Linked DNA regions of Sus scrofa. The protein of the gene in region 1 purifies or fractionates together with the protein of each later gene. This does not show direct contact. Links are inferred from orthologs where the notes say so. Each region holds a gene or a part of one and is shown in the gene's direction. Other genes may lie near its edges.

Region 1 (3,748 bases):
TTTTTTCCTAAGTTTTTTGAAGGAAAGAAAGAAGAAGGGAGGGAGAGGAGTTAGGGAAGGAGGAAAGGAGGAAATAAAGGAATTCATACCTAGATTCATTACTGCAAAACTGCAAAAATATCAAAGAAATCTCAAAAGCAGCCAGAAGAAAGAAGGGAGGGAGGAAGGGTGGAAGGAAGACTGAATGCGGTAGATTTTAGGTCAAAGTACAGAAAATAAACTAGGTAACTCTTATTAGGATTGAGGTAAGTTTCCTTTGAGATTCGTCAATATGACAGCTAAGTATCTTGATGAACAGCTATGAAAAGTTTTAAGTATAAGAAAATGTAGAGGAGAGAGAAAAAGCAGAAAACAAAGTGTTTCAACTCCAATCTAAAAAATATAAAGAGAACATTAAATTATGAACTAAAGACACATTTTCCTGGGGGTGGAGGATTAAAATAGATGGAAAATAACAATACCCAATATCTACTGAGTGCAAACGTTTTTAAAAAAAAGGAAACAAACTGAGCAGTGAAGGGCTAAATATATCACAGCTGAACAGACGCGGGGAGGAGTCGAAGATAGAAAAAGACAACGCCCTGGACTACAGACGTCAAATACAGGCTATTTACTCAACGTAATTATTGTTAAGTTATTGCTAAGACAGACAATTAGATGGTAAGGCTCCACCCGTTATTTCTGTTTGCTCACTTATTAATGTTTCGGGTGCAGGTATAGCTATATAGATCAATTACATTAGAACGACTAGATGGACTGCAAAATAGAATGCAGTGGCTACTGAGAACCATTTGTGCATCTTTTAATATGGTAAATACATAATTCACTCAATATTCTGAGTGTAAACTGTTTTAGTTCTATGTCAGCCAACCAGATGTCCCATTTATATTTTTAGGAGCGGATACGGAGGATAAATTCCAACAGTGAGTTCTGTTTTGAACACTTCCAATTGCCCGAACTTTGCCGATTATTCTAGCGTTAGAACCCTTGCCGTTTGCCTCACACTACTTGAAATCCATGACTCATAAACGCCAGGACATGGAATTGCGGCAGTAAAGAACAGGTGAAAAGTTGTTCCTAGTTGTGTTCTGTAGGCGCATACAACTCCCATCACTACCCGTGCAAAAATCAACAAATAAACAGAGGCACCGCATTTCAGATTCTGCTGCGCACCGTTCGCAATGGCACCTGGTTTTTGTAGTTTGCAAGGGGAGGACTACCAGCGTGTTCTTTCTTGCTGGGGAGGGACGAAAACTACACTTCCCACAAAGGCGCGGGGGCGTGCTCCGCTCGGCTTACGTCACCTCTTCAGCCAGCCAATGACCACTCCGGGCGGCAGTGAGGCAGGCGCCGTCAGGCGCCAAAGTGGGTTTTTTTTTTTCTTTTTTTTTTTTTTCCGCCGAAGCCGAGCGGGTGCTGCTAGCGGAGGCGCCATATTGGAAGGGACAAAACTCCGGCGACAGCGAGTGACACAAATAAACCCCTGGACCCCCTCGCTCCCCCAGCTCTAAGGGCCGCGATGTTGTACCTAGAGGACTATCTAGAAAGTGAGTGGGCGGCGCCGGCGGGCCCGACTGGGGGACCTGAGGGCGGGCGAGAGCAGGAGTGGACGGGCTGGCGGGCTGGCGGGAGGGAGGGGGAGGCGGGGGATGTTTCTTTCTCACGGTAACTGGCAGCCTCGTTGTGGGCTGCCGGCTCCCTCGCGCCCCCCCCACGCACGCACGCACGCACGCACGCAGCGACGTCGGCGCGTACTTTCGCCGTTGGCCCCGCCCTTCTGACTGACTTTCCCATTGACAGTGATTGAGCAGCTGCCAATGGACCTGAGGGACCGCTTCACGGAGATGCGCGAGATGGATCTGCAGGTGCAGAGTAAGTCGGCGCGTTTGCCCTTGTTCGCTGCGCGCGTTCAGTGCCAGACTTACTTGCCATCGACGCCAGCACCTCTGCTGTTTGACTCTCCTCCGGCTCCCTCGCTAGTACATCATAAGGAGTTGTCAAAAAGAACCGGCAATGCCGAATCTTGGCTCTTCTGTTTCCCACGCTACTTTTCTTCTGGCTTTTACAAAAGAAGGTGGCATCAGAGCACATGTGCACCTTTTTTTTTTTTTCGAATTTGAGACTGTACAATAAAAGTTTCTGTACCTTCATTAAGAATGTAGACATATGTTTTAGTGAACGTTGGCATCAATGTTGCGAAGACTTTGACTTGAGACTTCACGTATAGAACATAGCGGCATTTATGTATTTGTTAAAATTCATTCTAGTCAAAATTCAAGAGAGGAAATGCATATGGAAGCACAGGTTATATGTAGTTCTTTAGAGACCCTGGTGAACTTAGAATGTCCAATTTGAAAAGTTACACATTATAGGATACATTCTCAATTGTCAACAGCATGATAGTTTCTCAATCAAACATGAGAAAGGAAATTGGATTTTACTGTAAAGCTGCTTGTCTACTGTAACAAAAACTTTGGCTTTTGGTCTTTCAGTTATACTTTGTTAATCCGAAGACTTTTTCCCAAAAATAACTTGGCCCTTTCATAGAGCAGTATTTAGTTTATAGGATCATTTTTTTTCTGTGAAGTTTCTTTTAAAGAGTTTACGATTCAGAGAAGATAAAGAATAAATACCTTTATAAAGAATAAAAAGATAAGTACAGGAAAATTACACTTCAAAACAAGAAAACAGTGTTGAGTGCCAAGTGTACACTCATCATGCTCTGAAAGAACCTCACACACCTTTCCCCTTTGTGAAACGAATATAGCTGTTACCACTGTCTTGTAGAAATCCTATATTAAAAATTAAGAATGTGAATAATGTGATCCATAATTAAAATGTTTAATCAAGTGTACTTTGTTGGCTGTCTGTCACTCTTGTTTGGAGAAACGTAAGTACTGTTTAATTGCTTAAATAATATTAATGGCTGGCCTTCATAGGGTATATCTGCAGAGATAATGCCATTAGTTATGCTGTAGGCCACAGGGGAAGTCTAATAGGGTATATCAACAGAAGATGTTTCCTGATCACATGTATCCCATGTTTAGACTATGCATAGGATATTTCTTGTGCTGACAGATTTTCTTCTCAGAGAAGTAAGGCTGGGGGGAACATCTGGGTTTGGGGATGTGATAAGGAGGAAAAGAGTATCATGGAAAGAGATCAGAGAATAGAACCTTTCAGAGTGTGGTAGTCTTGAGGTAGCCCCCATCCCCCACCTCCCGCCTCCCTTCTCTGCCCCACCAGCACCACACATACTTCCATACCCATTGTTCACAAATATTCTTTTCTCAGCCTCCTGCCAGTTTCGTGTGGTGCATGAAACAAGGTAATATGTCTTGGAAGCCACCTTCTGTTCAGTGGATTGTAGTGTGGAAATCTGAGTTGTGTGTTTCTCCAGCTTGCTCACAAAATTCATTTTAACTTTAATGTATTTGAAATGCTAAAGATTTGCTAGAGAAGTGTTTTGTATAGGCTTGAGCATGGATTTTGTTGTCCAGCAAATCTGAGTTTATTTTAGAGCTTTAGAAACTTACTCATTGACCTTGACCACATTGCCACTTCTCCGGGATTTATTGTCTGTAAAATGAGAATCATCATGAAGATTAAAAATAATAGAGATAAATTAGAGCATATAGTACCTGATACAAAGTGAGCATTCAATAAAAGGTAGCTATTATACTTTTTCATGATTACAAATTTTTAAGTTCTTTAGTAATCTGGACTTGAATATGTAAGTTAGAGTTTT
Region 2 (3,748 bases), on another chromosome or scaffold:
TAACCTTGTTCCCCACCCTACTATCACTTTCAGCCTTGCTGCTGGCACTGAGACTGATGCGGCTTTATTCAACTGTTCTTAAGATAAGAGGTACCTATATGTCTAGACTCTAGGCAGACCAAGAACCATGAAGACATACAACTGATCTTAAGAATTTTAGCTGGAGCGACATGACCATGCTTTGGGTATTTTCATAAATCAAGCCGCCTGCAAAATGGCTAAAAGGGCAAGGCGACAAGTTATTGTAGTAATCCAGAGGAGCGACAACGGTGATCTGTACCAGTAGAAATAGACAGGTTGGAGATGTATTTAGGATTAGGTGATCGCTTGGAGGAGGATTGACTATATTGCTTTACACCTGGCTCAGAGGATAAAAGAAATTTATGACACTTTGAAAAACAACTTGTAAAGTGCTACCTAAATTTAGCGGGATACTGTATCATTCCCTTCTTTCAACTATTCATAACCATTTAAAAAACTTCACGGTCCTATCGGTTTGTCCGATTTACAGATTCTCCCTACCCCAAACTGGCGCATGGCACGTTAATATTTTCAACATAAATTCGTTGAAAATAGCTTTAAAAAAATTCTTCATTCACCAATATCCAAAGCCGTCGGAACTATCGCATGGAGAGGATTCCAGACCCCCTTCTAGAGGTTTATCTGGATTTGCCGGATTCCCACCGCTCCTCCACGCGCAGCCTCACCCCCTGGTCCGGCCCCATACTCTTGCCGACAGCCTGCCTCCTCCCTCTCCCGCTCCCTCCGCCCCACTCTCGGGCCCTTTCGGGAAGCTCCGCCCCCCCCAGTTCCGCAACTCAACTCCTCTCCTTCCGTCGCTTTCCATTCTCCCCGCCCCCATGGCTGTTTTCAATTGGCTAAACTGGCTGTGCCGCGACGGGGAGCGCGGCAGAGCCTCGTTCTTATTGGTTGAAATATAGCCGGGCCTCTTGTGATTGGCTGCTAAGGGGAGCCAGCAAGTGTGACTGCGCTCCGGGGTGTGTGGACGCCGCTTTGTTGCCTGAGGGGGGTGGCGGTGGAAGTTAAGAGGGTCGGGGGCTAGAGCGTCTCCGGATCTGTAGTCGCGGCGGTTGCGGTCGCTTCGCCTGGTGTCCTTTAGCGTAGGAGTCGCGTCAACAGCAGCCATGAGCGGCGGGGTGTACGGGGGAGGTGAGTGAGTGCGGCTGCTCGAGAGCGCGCCTTTTTAGCGTGTGGGGTTCGTAACCGCCGCCCCCAGCCCTCCCCTCCCCTCCCCTCCCCGGCGGCCCTTCCGGTCTCCCCCTCTCGGGACCCCGGCCTCCCCGCCCCATCCCCGCCCCGCGCTTTGCCCGCCCCCGGAGCCCACCCGGCTCCACGATCGCCCCGGGCGCCCGGAGTCGCCGCCCCCTGGGGCCTCTTCCAGTTTCCGCCCGCCGGGGAACCGGTTTTTGGGGGTGCACGCCGCCCCGGGGCTGGGCGGACAGCTCCCCTCGGGGGCCCGGCCCGGCGAGCCGCGACTGGATTGGCCGGCTCAGGGGCTCTTCTCAGGCAGTCGGCTCTGTTGGGGTGTGCGTGCTTGCGTGTTTAAACTTGGGAGGTCCCGGCAGTTAGCTAGTGTGGACCGCGGGTTTTCGCGGCGTCGGGGAGATGGCAAAGCGAGCCGCGAGGGTTGGAACTGATTGGAGGAGTGGCGGCCACTCCGGACGCAGCCTCCTCTCCGTCCGCGCTCCGCACTCATGCTGCCTCACCTTTCAATAACTCCTGCATATATGTTGACTGTGGATTCTCCAGAGTTATTCGTGGGCGGGTCTGCTCAGGGTTAGTATAGAGATATGGGTAATTTAAGAATGAGTGGGGTGCGCGGTATAGTGAAAGATTTCCGCGGGCTGGGGCTTACATCCACCTGGGTTGTAATATCAGCCTCACTTTTTATTAAACTCTTTGCCTTGGGCAAGTTGTTTAACTTTTCCCAACTTCAGACGATTCGTTTGTGGAATGAAAATTCCTACCCATTGGGATGATTGTGAAGGTTAAGGGGGGGTAATGCTACACTTGCTACTCAAAGTATGAGCCAAAGATCAATAGCATCAGCTTCACTTGTAAGCTCTTTAGAAAATACTGAATTAGAGCCTCCGTTTTTTTGCAAGATACCTAGGTGAAGCACTGAGTTATATGATTTCCTAACCCAAAATGTTGGTCTTGTTGTTGTGTTTAGTAAGGATATTGTTTCTGAAGAGGTTTTATAGGTAGGATATGAAAATAAGGTTTTTAAAGTTCTTAGTAGTTTTGAAATGAAGCTTGAGTCTCAGGTGACACACTGACCCTCACCCCCTCCTTCCCTGTATATGTTCTTAGTTTTAATTTCTCAAATGTGAGAGTTAGTAGTTTCCCATTTTTACTTTGAAGAAAGCCTAGTGGATCTTCATGATTTACTTCTCTCCCATCTGAAGATGCAGTCCTGACAGAAAAACTGGATCTATGTGCCTTTGCCTCATGAAGGCTACTGACTGTATTGACTTTCAGGTTCACTGATCCAAGGACCTAAAGGCTACCCACTGAGTAATTCCTTACAAGGCATTGTTTAATGTGATTAAGGTAGAAATAGATACCAATAATGCGAACGTTAACATTTATTGAGTGCATGCTGTGTACCAAGAACTGTTCCAGAGGCTTGCTGTTGCATTTAACACATGCATGAACTTAATCAACAACAACCGTGGGGGATGGTACTGCTTATCCCTGTATTATTAAAGAGGAAAATGAGGTTTAGAAAAGATTAAGTAGCTAGCCTAGAGTTACCTAACTTTCTAGTAAATGGGAAATAGGAACCTCTGGGATAAAGAAAAGGCATTTCAGTAAAACCCTTTCCCACTTAAAAAAAAAAAAAAAAAAGGTTTTTGGTTGTTTCTCCATAAGCCGTTCTTCAAGTATATAACCACAGCATATTCATATATGATTTAGATATTCACAATAAATATCCTATGTCTCATTTGCTTATGTAGAGGAATATATCTTAAAGTCTACTTCATATATAAAGTATTTAAAACTCACAAAAATGCATGGTTATAAAGTATTTAAAACTCACAAAAGTGCATGGTTTTGTGTTTGAGCTGCTACTGTATGGGAGTATTTATAGTCAGTCACATTTTCCAAAGGGTTTACTCTGAAAGGCAACCAAACCTCCCACCCAAGTTTTATGTAATTAACTTAATAAAGTGTATTTTTTTTTTTTTTTTTGTTCTTTCTAGGGCCACATCTATGATATATGGAAGTTCCCTAGGGGATGAATCTAAGCTGCAGCTGCCAGCCTGCTCTACAGCCACAGCAATGTCAGATCTGAGCCACATCCGTGACCTGCTTTGCAGCTTGCAGCAATGCCGAATCTTAACCCACTGAGCAAGGCCAGGGATTGAACCCACATCCTCATGGATAGTAGTCTGGATCTTAACCTGCTGAACCACAACAAGAACTCCAGTAAACTGTATTTTTTAACTTAGCTTGCTTATTAAAAAGATATTTGTAGTTTGTTTTAAGTTTTGTAGCTGTCTTATTCCAGTAGTTATTTCCAATCAGGACTGGCACTTAATCTTTAGCTTTAGGTATAATACATAATTCATCTGGATTGCCATACTTTCTGTAATTCGTTTTTGGGCCTCCTCATTGCTCCTGTGATCACCTTTTATGGTACTCTTTTGCTTCATACTCCTTTGTGTGCCAAAAATAAATAGGTATACTACCAGCCCATCTTTGATAAATTTTATCACTCTTG

The links.
Region 2: the proteins of ING3 (region 1) and ACTL6A purify together in Homo sapiens (affinity purification with western blotting; 3 studies listed by BioGRID and IntAct, with this or other methods). This does not show direct contact. The link is inferred for Sus scrofa from reciprocal best matches to the Homo sapiens genes ING3 and ACTL6A.

Annotation. Positions count from the first base shown.
Region 1 is NC_010460.4:25,974,136-25,977,883, reverse strand, and holds the start of ING3 (inhibitor of growth protein 3), read left to right. Parts: upstream 1-1,384; 5' UTR 1,385-1,519; coding exon 1,520-1,547; intron 1,548-1,800; coding exon 1,801-1,872; intron 1,873-3,748. UniProt on the Homo sapiens protein: Component of the NuA4 histone acetyltransferase (HAT) complex which is involved in transcriptional activation of select genes principally by acetylation of nucleosomal histones H4 and H2A.
Region 2 is NC_010455.5:117,597,468-117,601,215, forward strand, and holds the start of ACTL6A (actin-like protein 6A), read left to right. Parts: upstream 1-947; 5' UTR 948-1,145; coding exon 1,146-1,170; intron 1,171-3,748.